4 linked regions of the Oryzias latipes genome follow. The protein of the gene in region 1 interacts with the protein of each later gene in a pairwise test. Links are inferred from orthologs where the notes say so. Each region holds a gene or a part of one and is shown in the gene's direction. Other genes may lie near its edges.

Evidence for each region.
Region 2: the proteins of usp25 (region 1) and rad23a interact in binary tests that used the Homo sapiens proteins (3 or more experiments, as listed by UniProt). The link is inferred for Oryzias latipes from reciprocal best matches to the Homo sapiens genes USP25 and RAD23A.
Region 3: the proteins of usp25 (region 1) and rad23b interact in binary tests that used the Homo sapiens proteins (3 or more experiments, as listed by UniProt). The link is inferred for Oryzias latipes from reciprocal best matches to the Homo sapiens genes USP25 and RAD23B.
Region 4: the proteins of usp25 (region 1) and syk interact in binary tests that used the Homo sapiens proteins (3 or more experiments, as listed by UniProt). The link is inferred for Oryzias latipes from reciprocal best matches to the Homo sapiens genes USP25 and SYK.

What each region holds. Positions count from the first base shown.
Region 1 is NC_019872.2:2,562,679-2,566,245, reverse strand, and holds part of usp25 (ubiquitin carboxyl-terminal hydrolase 25), read left to right. Parts: intron 1-564; coding exon 565-702; intron 703-1,095; coding exon 1,096-1,169; intron 1,170-1,244; coding exon 1,245-1,318; intron 1,319-2,151; coding exon 2,152-2,303; intron 2,304-3,109; coding exon 3,110-3,237; intron 3,238-3,332; coding exon 3,333-3,428; intron 3,429-3,567. UniProt on the Homo sapiens protein: Deubiquitinating enzyme that hydrolyzes ubiquitin moieties conjugated to substrates and thus, functions in various biological processes including inflammation and immune response.
Region 2 is NC_019866.2:22,938,764-22,942,330, reverse strand, and holds part of rad23a (UV excision repair protein RAD23 homolog A), read left to right. Parts: intron 1-817; coding exon 818-861; intron 862-1,296; coding exon 1,297-1,424; intron 1,425-3,398; coding exon 3,399-3,486; intron 3,487-3,567. UniProt on the Homo sapiens protein: Multiubiquitin chain receptor involved in modulation of proteasomal degradation. Binds to 'Lys-48'-linked polyubiquitin chains in a length-dependent manner and with a lower affinity to 'Lys-63'-linked polyubiquitin chains.
Region 3 is NC_019870.2:9,289,482-9,293,522, forward strand, and holds the start of rad23b (UV excision repair protein RAD23 homolog B), read left to right. Parts: upstream 1-1,178; 5' UTR 1,179-1,323; coding exon 1,324-1,389; intron 1,390-1,880; coding exon 1,881-1,962; intron 1,963-3,554; coding exon 3,555-3,634; intron 3,635-4,041. UniProt on the Homo sapiens protein: Multiubiquitin chain receptor involved in modulation of proteasomal degradation. Binds to polyubiquitin chains.
Region 4 is NC_019870.2:27,546,022-27,549,588, reverse strand, and holds part of syk (tyrosine-protein kinase SYK), read left to right. Parts: intron 1-1,223; 5' UTR 1,224-1,279; coding exon 1,280-1,681; intron 1,682-3,567. UniProt on the Homo sapiens protein: Non-receptor tyrosine kinase which mediates signal transduction downstream of a variety of transmembrane receptors including classical immunoreceptors like the B-cell receptor (BCR).

The sequences.
Region 1 (3,567 bases):
TCAAACCTGCTGGGTGGCGGTGTTGTCAAAGTGTGGCCCCGCCCTCACCTTGTGTCGCTCATTAAACTGTGGACGGCTTTAATGGCCCTTACTCTGCAGCTGAGCTCTTTATGCTTCCTGCAGCAGTGAAAGTCCTCTTGTCACAAGCACAGCCTCATTTGTGTCACTCATCTGTTAGAAAAAACCCGCTGTACACTGATCTGCAGCAGCCTTCTGGGCTGACCTGAGCTGACCTCCGGTCAGGTCTGCAGAATGAAGATGATGGCGAAACAACAGCCATGCTCTCTGGTGTCTTAATGTCGGTGTGCGGCATTTAACAGTAGAGTTGGAGACTGACAACATTCAAACATCCTCATGTTTAGGATAAATGACTGGAAGCAGACGCCCAAAGCCTTGTCAGGAATTGGTGTCTTTCCTGTATTTTGTGTGTTTTTGCACTGACTGTCGCTATAAAGGAATCACTGCGCTACACCTGCAGAAGCCTGCCAGTCACAGCAAATGACCATAAAGCTTTCTCACTGCCCTGATTCCAACTTTGATTTCTGTTTTTTTTGCTCTGAGCAGGAGCACAGATACCTGCTCTTCATGCAGGAGTTGAGGAACCTCTTCTCCCTCATGGTGGGCTCCAAGAGGAAATATGTAGACCCTTCACGGGCGGTGGAAATCCTCAAAGATGCCTTCAAATCCAGTGAGTCACAACAGGTAAGCTTCTCCCGATGTCCTTTGCTGCACGGGATCACAGACTTCCTGAAAGTGTCTTTAGGGGGGGGGGGCAATGGTTCCACGTAACCAGGGGGTGACACCTGCAGGCCTGCATGTTTATGGATATGGCCCTGTTCACGGCTGATCACGTGTGGCCAACCTTTTACAGCAGGACTGCGGCCCTCCAGGCCAACCTCTGCACAGCTGGAATACAGGAGCGTTCCTGCTGCTTCTCCTGGTGTGGCTCCTTCACTGTTGAGCCCCAGTTCCCCCAGCGGTCCTCCCCGTATCACACTGACAGTCCCACTTTGTGAAGGGACTCAATGATCCATAGAAGGCTTCTGTGTGAAGTGAAGCGTGACAGACAGATGTGTGATGATGTTTGTTCCACAGCAGGATGTCAGTGAGTTCACCCACAAACTGCTGGACTGGCTGGAGGACGCCTTCCAGATGAAGGCAGAAGACAGGTAAGCTGCTTCTAGTGGACCTGATCCAGATGACCTGAAGGGTGTTTGCAACAGTTTCTCATCCCTTGTTCTCAGGGAGGGGGAGAGACCGAAGAACCCCATGGTGGAGCTTTTCTACGGCCGCTTCCTCGCTGTGGGGGTTCTGGAAGGTGAGCGGGAGCCCATGATTTCTGCCATTACAGAGTAGCATGATGGAGGAGTAAGAAGGCTGAAGCTCAGCCTGATGCCAGGATGCAGAGAGTGGGGGAGTCTCCCCCCTCAGTCATGGAAGGTGACCTCATCCTAATGACTGTAAAACACCAGAGCTTACGCTGACTGGAGGAGACCTTGGCGGCTGATTAAAATTCTGTTTATTATGCATGACGACGCTGGCTCAGAGCCTCCTGAAGGTGGTCCTGAACTCCTCATCTGTGTCTGCTGGCCCCCACCGCTTTAGGGCGGGGCTCAGCAGCTCAGTGGAAGAGGCGGAGAGGGCTCAGGTTTAAATCCATAGTCAAAGGATCCAATGCCTCTGTGCTCTTCAGCATTTAGATTTTGGATTGGGGGGTTAAATGGCTGCAGCATGTGGAGAAGGAGTTTCTCCCACCCTGGTGTGTGACCACCGATGGGGCTTTAAGGTAACTGTAAGTTAGGTTTCCATGAGGCAGAAGGTAACGATGGAGATCACACCTTCCTGGTGTGGATGAAGTCTGTTTATGCATTGAAGGAAACCCAAAAGTCTACGTTCTTTGAAGTGCTGTAAGCCCCTTTGACACACATGTTCAACACTGACTGTCACTGAGGGGGGGGTCCAAACCTGTGATCTCTGTGACCACCCCATCAAGTAACTGGCTTCAAGCTAAATGAGCAGGAGTCAAACAGAAAAGGTGCAGAAAAAGCTGCTGAAATGAGCTGTAAGATGCTGGGGGGGTCGGATGCTGGGTCACACACAGACTTTGCCTGATCTCACCTTTGGTTTGTCCGCTGTTCCCTTTGACTACAGGTAAAAAGTTTGAGAACACAGAGATGTTTGGGCAGTACCCCCTGCAGGTGAACGGCTTCAAGGACCTCCACGAATGTCTGGAGGCGGCGATGATCGAGGGGGAGATCGAGTCCCTGCACTCTGCAGAAAACTCTGCCAAATCGGGTCAAGAGGTCAGTGATGCAGACTGAGCACGGCAGCCGGATCCTCTGCTGAGGAACCGAAAAAGGAAGAGGGTGCCCCCCGTGACCAGGGCGTGATCACATGTCAGGCTGGGGTCACTCATTAACCATGACAAACCACCATTCACTTGGCTTTCAGACGTCCACTCAACCTATTTTATAGGGTTGGAATAAAACAGTTTTATGGAGCTGAATATAGAAACTGAATAAAGATGAATCTTTCATTAATTTATCATTTCTTTTAATACAATGATAAAAAATAGGCTAATAAAAGAAAAAACAAGAACAATATATGTATTTCCATTCATAAAATCTATGAATTGATACTAATATGTTCAGTACGGACTATGTAAAAACTCATCTTTTATGGCATTTGTTCACAAGCAGCACAAACCCACTTCAGAGGAAAAAATCAGTCCAACGCACCTGACAGCAAAAATAACCCAACATCCATGAAACAAAAATTAAACATGTTCATAAATCAGATTTTAATCAAAGTACAGTACATGCAGACGGAGCAAAGCGGTTGTCAGCATCTGAAGGACAAAACCTGTTTCACAGCCTGGAAGTATTGACAGAGAAGTTGTCTTCTCTGAGCTTCGTCTTGGTCCTACAGATGAAGCTTGGATGTGTGCTGCTCCTCCTCCTTCTCCTCCTCCTCCTCCTCCTCCTCCGTGCCTCATTCAAATGCCTTAACACTTGTGCACGTCACCCAGGCTCCCGTCTGCATTGAAATGCTTCAAAAACCAAAGAGTGACGTCCAACGTTTGAAACGGTCTCAACTCAATGTTTTTCAGCACTGGTTCACGGAGCTCCCCCCCGTGTTGACCTTTGAACTGTCGAGGTTCGAGTTCAACCAGGCTTTGGGACGACCTGAGAAGATCCACAACAAGCTGGAGTTCCCCTCCATGCTCTACATGGACAGGTGATGCCAACACGGATGATGGTGATCATGTGTCTTTGAAGAGCCCCCCCCCCCCCCCCCCCCCCCCCCTAATCCTCTGCTGGGGCTGTGCACAGATACATGGATAGAAACAGGGAGATCACCAGGATCAAGAGGGAGGAGATCCGGCGACTGAAAGAGCACCTGACTCTGCTCCAACAGCGACTGGAGAGGTACACTGCCGTCCTTTATGTCCGTCTGTGGCTTTGTGCTGTGAGGAGTGAGGATGCAGACGCTGCAGCGTCTGCACACGGCACCGTCGAAACAGAAAAAACACCCGTCACACGACATGCTCATGAGCTCAGGTCTAAG
Region 2 (3,567 bases), on another chromosome or scaffold:
GAATTACATTCTAAAAATAACCCTTGATAGGAAATCTGCAAAGTAATGAAGCTTTATATGTACAATAATTCTGGTATTTAAGGCTGTAAAGCTTCTCACTACACACCTGTCTACGTTTCTCAGACAAACATGAACATTTTCACACTTTTGTCTCTTGTTTAAAGTCTCAAAGTTCAAACCTTCACAGAATCTAAGGCCAGTATTGTAGAATGAAAATAGATCTGTTTATAGTAGAAAACACTGATGGTCATGTTTCTGAAATCAGGTGGTTGATTTTTTTCGGCTTTTCTGCTTTCTTCTTTTTTTAAAATTTATTTAAAATGTGTTTTTGTGGAGGGGTTGCACAGTGGTGTAGTGGCCAGCGCTCCTCCCTCGTAGCGAGAAGGTTCTGGTTCCAATCCCAGCCGGGTTTTGTCTGCGTGGAGTTTGCATGTTCTGTCTGCATGTGTGGAACTCCAAAAAACATTCCAAAAACACGCTTCATGGTTAATTGGTGAATCTCAATTGTCTCTAGGCGTGAATGTGAACTGGCGACCTGTTCAGGGTGTAGCCCACCTTCACCCAATAGTAGTTGGGATAGGCTCCAGCAACCATGTGACTCTAAAACTGATTCTGCCGGTTTAGGGGATGGATTGATGTTGTTTTTTGTCGATTTTGTTGAATAATTTAGGCGTTTGTGCTGTTTAAATGTTGGATTGATAAAGCTCTTCGAGGGTCTGAAGTCTTTCACATTAAGGCGGATTTGTTTTACTGTATATAAAGCTAAAATAACGTGATAGGATTTCAAATCAATCAGGATTTTCCTTGTCTTTTGTAGCTCCAGCGGCGGGAATCAGGGCCTGGACGCCTCTTCAGCGTTGGGTATGTGACGCTGAACCCTCACCTGATGACTCTATGCTCCGCCTGCAGTTGCTGCTCTCATCAACACAACACAAACCCTTCCTGTAATTAGAGGGCGACAAAAGCGAGCTGGCTCTTGTTGCGGGGTCACACAGAGGGATGGGGAGTCCCATGTGATGCAGTTATGAGCACATCTGCTGCACGCAGAGGCGACAGGAAGTCACGTCATTTGTCAGTCAAGTGCCAGAGAGCCTCTGTCTTCTGCGTTCAGCCTTTTGGTCTTGAAGTCAAGTTGAGACCGTTCCCATTTAAAACAGGGGAGCCTGACACAATAATCATGAAATGTTTGGACTATTCAAATCCCGAAACTCTTTATTTGACCCGTAAAACTTGACTGATTGTAGCTCAGGCTTGACCCCCTTTGCACAGAGGTTTGATTCCCGGTTTGTGTTTCAGTGACTGGAGCGGAGTACGAGGCCATGCTGACGGAGATCATGTCTATGGGATACGAGAGGGAGCGAGTGGTGGCGGCGCTGCGGGCCAGCTTCAACAACCCGCACAGAGCCGTGGAGTACCTCCTCACTGTACGTATGCTGAGGCCCCGCCCACCTGCCGGATGGGACGCTGCCTCTGAGCTCCCAGCCAGGGTGTGATGCTCTCACTACCGTAACCCTTCGACTGCGTACGCAATTCTTCTTTTCATTAACCTGTTTTTTAGTAGGGAATCAACACGAATCGGCTGATTCTGACACGGACAAAAGCGGCTTTTCATGTTGGCTTTGCACCGATAGACCACACATTTCTAACTTTAAAAGTGTTGCATGACGGCGCAAAGCTGTTTCCGCCACGGCAGAATCGGCTGTTGGTTGTGTAAACACTTGAGTCCTGTAAAGTGTTGCCCATCAGTGTGAAGCTCATTTTCTCCACTTCAGAATCCGTTGCGTGAACAGTCGTAGGGTTACGGTAGTGGAAAGAATGTAAACACTGGCGCTAAAGCTCTGGTGTCGCTGGACATTCACACAACAGACATCCGACCAACAGGAGGTGAGGTTGTGTGAGACGTTCACACCAAACGCGTATCTGACGCGTCAGATCTGCTGCTTAATGTTTATCCAAAGAACGCGTTCATAAATGGACGTCTGAGACGAGCTGCCGGTTCAGATTTTGGAAGCATTGACTCCATATCCCGTTTACAGTGCATGGAAGACACGGATGATGTTTAGAGATCAGGTTTACGTGTTTTAAAAGACTTCTACAGAAACATTGGTGATCCCGCCTCCACGTCTGGGTTCATGACATCATTCAGAGACTCTCCCGGTACGCTGAGCTTCACCGTCTGCTGCAGGAGCTGCGTCTGATTGACAGCTGCTCCCGACTCTCCCTGACCCAGTTTGACGACTCGCTGTCCCGCATGAGTCCTGGGAGGGAAAAAATACAAATGAGAATCAAATTAGAGGAACTTTCCATTATTGTATCGACGGAAAAAGCAAAACAAAATAATGGTCCTAATCTTTTCAGTGATTCCCGATTGCATCACTGAACCCGCCACGCCTGATTGGTTGACATGCGGTTGAAGTTTAATTCGACTCGCTGCGATGCCCAAAACATGCTGCTGCAGAACCAACGTTCAGACCCCAGATGGCGTCTGGACATTGATGCGTGAATCGCATTTGGTGTGAACGCGGCTTTAGCGACACGCACCCGTACAGGTGCTGCGGGGTTTTAGGTCGTCTGGGACGTGGAAAGTCGTAGCGAGGAGCCTACCGCCACTCTTGAACTGTTTATGCAGAAAAGCCAAAGCTTTGCAACGTTTTCTCTGTCAGAATTACTAAAAAGTAACGTAAACAATCCAAGAGCGTGTGTTTTTTGTTGTTTTTTGTCGCTAGTGACAACGTAGGTGTTAAAGGTTAAGGAAACGCAGGTGTCTTGGAAATGTCATGAAATGGAAGGTACCATTGGCGTGCGTGTGGTAAGTTTGTCGTTGGGATGATGTAAGTTGCACGTGATGCTGTTGTATGGCCCCCTAGTCATCAGTAAGGCGTCACTGACGACATGCTATGTTTGATACGCAGGTGCCTGTAGGATGTCCTCTGTCTAATTTCTAAGTCAGGCTGCATGTGAGGAGCGCGCACGTGTCACGTGAACAGCACCACCGGCTCCTTTCTGCTGGAATGAGGAGGGTTGAAGACATGAAAGTCCTGACGACACGCCTGTGTCTCACCTGCTTCATCCTCACGTGTTGTAGAAGCGTTCACTGCGACCTGTCGTCCGTAGAAAAAACTGCGCACGAGCATTTTCGCCTTACAGTCTACGGTGTTAAAATGGTCCCCCAGGTGTGCCCACGTTCCCCCCACAGACAGCCGTGTCCACCTGCGAGTGCGGTGGAGACCACAGCTAAAGCCTCTGGGTGTAAATCTGGAAATGAAGGCGTGTAACCGCATCCGCTGTGTGGCACCAGCCGTCTGATTAGGTCGAACTTGTGACTCTAGATGCCTCAGAATGAAACATCGCTGTCCAGCTCAGGAAGTGGTCGCTCACAGGCGCTCTTGTGTTTCCAGGGTATTCCCAGCAGCCCCGTGCAAGAAAGCAACCCCCCAGTGCAGCCCCCCACCTCTGGATCCACAGACGCCCCCTCTCTAGCAGAAGGTATGAGACCACAATGCATTGCCTTTGAATGATTTGTCATTTGAAAAAATGTACATAAATGAGTTTTTATGAATTATCCAC
Region 3 (4,041 bases), on another chromosome or scaffold:
CTCCTCGACAAGAGCTGCAGATCCTGTGGGTGGTGGTAGTGGGTGGGTGGGGGGATCCAGGCCTCCATCACACTCCTGTGTCTTAGCCTCCCATGGAGGCTCACGAATAACGTAGACAACACCTGTAACCCTTGTGCTATCCTAGGCACTTTACTATTGGGAGTTGGGTCATCTAGACCCACTAGACAGTGCTCTGAACCTTTTTTCTTCAGTGATTTGTGATCTTCACTGGTGTCCATGGATTACATGAAATCTTTCCACCTTTATCCACCTTTGTCATGGTAGGGAGAACACGTCAATGTAAGGGTGGGGTCATCTAAGATAGCACAAGGGTTAAATCTCACAGTGTGATGATAAGCACCATAACTTTATGATCCACCAAATGTTTCCTAAACATTTGTTTACAACACTGTGGGTTGCGTTTAGGGGCGTATAGATTAATCGGCTTAAGCCATGAATCAATTTTTATTCCCACGACCTACCAGATCAATCGGTTTGAGCCAAGTTGTTATTCAAATTATAGAATCATTTTAAAAATAACTAAATTGATTATTTCGATATTTGCAAATACCATTTGGATTGAGGCACGGTAGGTTTCCAAGAGGAAACCTGTGTATGCACAGGGAGAACATACAAAATCCACACAGCAAGGTTCCAGCAGGGATTTGAACCTCTCCCAGTGGGGCAAGAGTGCTAACCACTATACAATTGTGCAGCCTACACCATTTAATACGTGAATTTAAAAAATAATTTAGTGTCAAAGTGCTAATTATTTGCTCCAATATTTGTGCTGTATATATTTTTTTTATTGTTATTGTTATGCTATTTTACTTTTTAAATCCTATTTAATTTAATTTTGTTTAAACAGCTGTGTGTTTAATGTTTAAATGACATGAAATCTGTGGTATTACTTTTCAGTATTACTTACTTATTCAGAGTGTTAGGAAAAAATAACATTCTGTTTTGATTAATTTTTATGTGAAAATGTGTATATATATTGAAAAAAACATATAGAATATAATGAAGAAAAATATATATAGAATATCCTCCACAATCAAATCAATTTAACCGTGGTGGGACCAACTGATTTGGATTTATTGTCCAGCAGATTATTTGATTAAGTTCAACGTGTAGCCACCAGGGGCGCTAGTGTGTTTTTTCATGAGGGGGGGGGGTTACCCGGTTTTACCGCCACAGAAGAAGAGAACCGAAAAATCATGGCGGCTGACAGTTTGTAATGAGCCAACGGAAAAAAGCGATTTCTTTCAAGTTAGATTTACAGATTTTTTTAAAATTGGAGCCAGAAGTAAACCGACCTACAACATGCTGATAACTTTAAAGACTTTGCAACAGCAGACCTTCAAAATCGACATCGATGAGGAAGAAACGGTGAGAAATATGCGCGAGCGGGAGTTGTTTATGTGGAGCAACTAAAACAGCAGTAAATGTTTTTTTGTTTGTTTTTGTTAAAAACATATTGACTAGAGTCATTACGCTAGCAAAATAATACTCTTTTGATTTAAAATAACATACAAAAACTCAGGCAAAATGTTGTTGTCTGTGCTTAAATGTAATGACGATAGTAAAGTTGTTTCTATTTACACGCCAGCCTTCGCACTGTTCCTAAACATTTATGACAGAGATCTTTTACTCCGAACTTTTACTTTCGATAAACTTTAAGGACATGCGCGTTATTCCTCTAAATCTGTTGCTAACAGCTAAGATTCAATGGTTGATGTCTGTAGCTAGATTTTAGAGGAGGTTTCCTTCTTAACAACAGAAACTTGGACCTTATGGCTCCAGAAGTGCTGAGTCATCTCACTGTGTGTATTGTTGTTTACTGCTAGTCATTGTTGTCAGTGTTGTTGTTTCTTCTGCAGGTGAAGACGTTAAAGGAGAGGATTGAGCAGGAAAAGGGGAAGGAGAGCTTTTCAGTGGCCGGGCAGAAGCTGATCTACGCCGGTATGATGGGTCCCTCCCTGCCTCTTTCTTCCTCTGAGTACTCACGTGATGTTTAGACCGGTTCTGATCAGTTTGCATCCATAGTCCTGGCAGGTTAAGATCCGGAAAGATCTGTACTCTTTGATTTGCCTAAAAGTTTTTTTTGTATATTTCTCTGCATATTTGACACAAAATTGCTTCAGATCTTAAACTGTCGGGTCTATAAAGTCCAGAAATCTAGAATTTTCAGCCTAAAATATTTAAAAATGCATTTAATTTGATGTCATTTGTCTTAAATTATGTATTTCTTTGCTGTGTTGTTTAATAGTGACCACAAGAATGATGATACGCTGCAAACACACTTTTGTTGACACACAAGTACTTTTTGGTACATAAAGTTTCACCAAAACCCATAAAATAGTTATTTTAGGTTCTGTTCCTCAATATTTTAAATGTGTCTTAAAGCGAACTGTGCTTTTATTTTGACATGCATGTTACAGCCTCAAAGACGCTGAAAAGAAACTTTAAAAAGACTACAAATTGATTGCTGACGTTATGTAAAATGATTGATTTAAGGCGATGACGATGTCTGCTGCTTCTGTTTGTATTCTAGAAGAATAGTTTTTTTGTCAATGTGGGCAAAAAAGTGTTAAAATTCTGACTGTCGTTACAAACATAGTTTAGTTTTGACTTCAGAATAAAATAAAATCGCTAGATACCTGCACTTTATGTTTTACATCAGGGTGAAGGGATCCAACTGGATCCTATGTTAGGCTAACCCGGGTCCGGCAAATTCTATGTTCAAATCAGCTTCACCCAGGAAGCATTGAATCAAATCGAACATTATTTAGAAAGTGCTTTTCCTACAAGTGCTTTACATTAAAGAAAAACCAAATAAATAATATAAAAACAAGCACGAAAATTAAAATAGAACCCCCTCCCCAGACCTACACACAGCCCCCTCCCCCCCTAACTGATGGGGATCGACAATGGGAAACAGGCTTGCGCGTCTGTGCACATTTGGACTCCAAGTTGAGTACAGAAATCATTGTGTCACCTTTAGAGCTCACATGAGCACAAAAAAAGCACCAAAACGTAAAGCTTCCACACCAATCCTTTCCAAAAAATACAGTTTTCCCATGATTCATTGGTGAGAAGACAGATGGAGGTTAGCGAACCACTTCTGTAGCTTCTTATGCTTTTAAAAGAACTTTCTTGATTCGATTGATGCATTTGTGGCTCAGTAGTTGCTTGTTTTTCAGCCTCATTTGATCCAAATCATCAACAGAACGGGACTGGGCTTCAATTTACTGCTTTATGCCGGATTATTATGGGTTTTTTTAAGTCAATGATTGACAGATGTGTTTATGCTTTTCTGCTTTAATGGGTAGAGCGCTGCAGTTGAAGTGAATATCATGAAAAATAGGAGTCAACAAAAGATTTTGGTTGAGAATAAAGATAAATGCTTAGAAATTAACTTTTAAAAACAGATTTTGTGTAAATGACCATCATTTGTGTGACCGGCACAGATCCTCGTTTTCTAGTTTTCAGAGCGAGTAAAACCCAGACGGATGTCGTCCATCCCTCAGAAATCCTTTTCTGCTTCTTTCCAGGAAAAATCCTCAGCGACGACACGGCCCTCAAAGAATACAAAATCGATGAGAAGAACTTTGTGGTCGTCATGGTGACAAAGGTCGGTGAATTACAAACCGCTGGTGAATTGCAAGCTTGCTTGGAACCTTTATATCCCTCCGTTTTGTTCCTTTATTCGTAAGCGAATCCCTTTGGTGACTTTCTCCTCTTTTTTTTCACACCGTGTCTGAGTGTCAACCGCCTCTGCTGGTGTGCGGGGCTGCACACCTGTCTGATGCTGAGCTCCTAAAACCTCCACAAAAGCAACTTTCTTTAATTCACCCCCTAAAATATCAAAGATTGGAATAATTTCACTAAAAGCAGAGGTGGTCTTATGTCATCACACTTGTTTAGAAGTTCCTCTATGCTTTTATTTTGGCGGGTGGAATTGAAGGGGAGGAATACAATTTGGAGATTCAAACTTTTGTTTTTTAAGATCATTTTTTTGTTTTAGCTGCTGTGCTTTCA
Region 4 (3,567 bases), on another chromosome or scaffold:
TGTGGAAAATCTGAAATATCACCACAATGGTCACCAAGCCTTAGAACCATTGACTGTATATGGAGGACTGGACTGAGCGAGTGAGACTTCACCCATTGAAAAATGCCTAACCCCCGGTTCCAACCAAATCAATTCAATTCGAGTCAATTCAGTCGCCATTTTTTCACGATATGTCTGCCGCCATGTTGTCTGTGACATGAACCAGACGTCGTCAGTAAGCTCCATTTCCAAGTGCTCCATGTCGATCTTAGTCTATATTTCCATGGCAACCACTCTCTCCAGTCAGTAGTGAGCATGTTAGAAGGCCTCACCCTTTCCACTGAAAGCAGGATCAGGAGGATCCGGAAATCAAACGCTTTGAACATTCAATGTGAGGCCACCTTCTTTTAATGAGGCATCTGATTGGTCAGTTTGTTACTTGAATGACTTTTACTGCAGCAAAAATATCATTAAAAAAATTAGGATTATCCAGAATATGTTAAAAAGATGTGTCAGAGTGAGAATGGTTATTCTGACCAATAGAATGACTGATTACAGCTGTTTCTTTTTCTATTGAAGTCTATTAGATTTCAGCTTTTTTGGAACCAGCGGGTACTTCCTGTTTGGAACACGGGGTGGAGGGGTCACTTAGTCCAGTTCTCATATACAGTCAACGGCCGTAGGTCCCACGGCCATCTCATGATAATTACAAAACTCCCTTTGTTTTGGTTTTCAATATAGGATTTAGAAATATTTTTTGGAGACCTATAAAAGATTTTGGCTAATTCATCTTTTGTTGTTTCCTTCTGCTGTGATTTATTCATTGGGGGGGGTTACAATGCCTAAAATTCATTGTCTATGTTTTCTAGATTTATGAAAATGTTGATGAGTTTTTGAGTAAGTATGAAAGCTGCAGTAAGAAAGAAGAATTAATAAAAGCAATCTGGTCTTTGTGGTCCAGGTCTGCTGCGGGACAGAATTAACAAAAAGAACTAAACACACTTTCTTCAAGTGTCTTTGTTGGAACGATTCATATAAACTGCTGTTTATAAAAACTACAGCAGCTTACTGACATCAACCTGACAAAAGTAAAGACAATTGTTTTGCTTCTAAAAGCAGGCGATACCAGCATCACCTGCTTGAGTGTCCCTGTTTCTGGAGTAAAGAACAACTTTTATCTGTTTTTTAGCTTCTCCTTTCAGATTTTGCAGTTGTAACTCAAGGTGACCTTCTTGTTTTCTCAGGGACACTTCATCCTGGTGGCCTAGTTTTGTGAGGAGACAAGTGTCCAACGGCCAAGATGGCTGACGCTGTCAACGCACTGCCGTTCTTCTACGGCAACATCGCCAGGGAGGAGGCGGAGGACTACCTTCGGCAGGCAGGCATGAGCAACGGGCTGTACCTGTTACGGCAAAGCCGGAATTACCTGGGAGGCTTTGCCCTTTCTGTCGCCAATGCTAAGCACTGCTACCACTACACCATCGAGAAAAAGCCCAACGAGACGTACGCCATCGCTGGAGGCAAGAGCTACAGGAGCCCCGTGGACGTGATTGACCACCACTCCCAGGAGACAGACGGCCTGGTGTGTCTCCTGAAGAAGCCCTGCAACCGACCCAAGAACATGCAGCCCAAAGTTGGACCCTTTGAGGACCTGAAGGAGAAGCTGATCCGAGAGTACGTGAAGCAGACCTGGAACCTAAGGGTGAGTTTGCCTGGCAGGGATCCTTTGTTCAGAAATCTGTTGTTTTTCTGTTTCTGAAGCATCTTTTCAGAAAGGTGGTGAGAGATTGTAAACAAGTAATCAATAAACTATGATGGCCTGAGGATCCAGGTGTTCAGGCGGGCTGGTGGATCTCTAAGCCCGCTTGGCTCCCATACTGTTTCTGTTGTTCCTGATCTGATCCCCATTTGTCTGAGTCTCAGGCTGCACTGGTGGCTCCTCCCTCTGTCCTCTGGGACACACTGTCAGGTTATAACGGATCACTATTTTGCACGCCTTTGTGGTCTCTGACATGTAAACTCCTGGAAGGAGACTGGAGTAGTCACAGATGTCTCCATGGCTGGCCAAAGCGTATTGTCCACCTTCCACTCTGATTCCACGCTTCATCACACCTAGACTAATCTGCTGAAGACAGACCAGTATGGAGTCCTGCAAACACGTTTGGCTCATTTGACTCCTCACTGCTCGAGCGTTTCACCAACCTGTGAGGGCACGATCCAACCCCAACCATCGATGAATCATCAAATGTGAAAGGCAGAGACTACAGTGAACGTATGTGAACTTTAAAGTCTCCTGATCGGCGGTTGGCTGCAGCAGAGGTCCCCTCTTTGAAGACGTTTATGTCAAAACATGAACTCAGAACCGCTCTGTCAGAAGCCTTCCTGAATCTGTCTGTTCTGGGAATCAGTTCCTTCACGAGAAAGAAGCTGAACTTTGCTGAGATCCGCTGACCCAGCCCACATCTCAAAACACAGCTTTTGTTGGAGGTTTTTAATTGCCCAATAGCCCAGACCGAAAGTAAAAGAACAGGAACCCGGAGATAACAGAAATAGAACATTTCTACTGTATTCTGACGCAAAGGTTTAAAAAAACAGCCAGTCAGAAAGAGCGACTGAGCGCGCTCAGATTCCAGATTCCAGATCCTGAACTGCATCTTCATCTGCCGTCCTTGCAACCCAATGATGGTGGGGGGGGGGCAGTTTGATTTTGAAGAGCGATAAGTTCAGTTTGGACGTTTGTTTGTTTCTCTCATCCTTTGTTCTGAACGGATGAGGAAGACTCAGAGGCGGTCTCTGTGAGGTGTGAATTTCTGGTTCCGGTCCTTTAAATGATGACGTTACCACAACGCAGCATCCTACCTGAGCAGGTGTGAACATCGCTGGCATGGCTGGGGGGTTATCTCTGCAGCCAATAGCTTCTAGCAGATTTCACAGTTTTCTGTCTTCAGAAGAGACCTCTAGGTTGAAAACCACTAAAACTGGTTTTAATTTAAGCCGTTTTTCTGTGTTTATATGTTTTCAGGCTGTGTGCAACACAATGAAGTCCATATGTCTCTCCGTCTGGGTAACAGCCTGTGACTTTTGCATAAAAGTCCTCCTTACCCTCTATCAGAAATTTCAGAAGTCTCTCAGTCTGAATACAGATGTGTCAGTTCAACGTTGATTTTTTATTTTTTTGATTGAAAGTCCAACTTTGAGACATTTCTTAATGACATTTTATCCAGCATTTTTGTCAGCCAGAGCGAAGCAGAATACTGACTCCAGACCAGCGTGAGCCCACAAACACCCTCTATAATATAATTGAGGCCAAGTTACTGCTTACCTCACCTTCTGTGTTTTTTCAGTGCAGCTTTATGTCGGATCCATTAAAGAAACAACAGACAAACATGAAAGAATAACTGTTAAATGGAAAGCGATGACACGTAAAAAGATGCATAGAAACTATTTAATAAAGTGTTAAATTTATTAGCATATGCTGAATAAGCCAAAGGCAACCCAGTCTGCATGGGATTGCACAAGCCTGCGTGAGCTGTAAAATGAACAGGAAATGTGGTAAATACAGTAATTTTGAGGATAAAAATGATTACA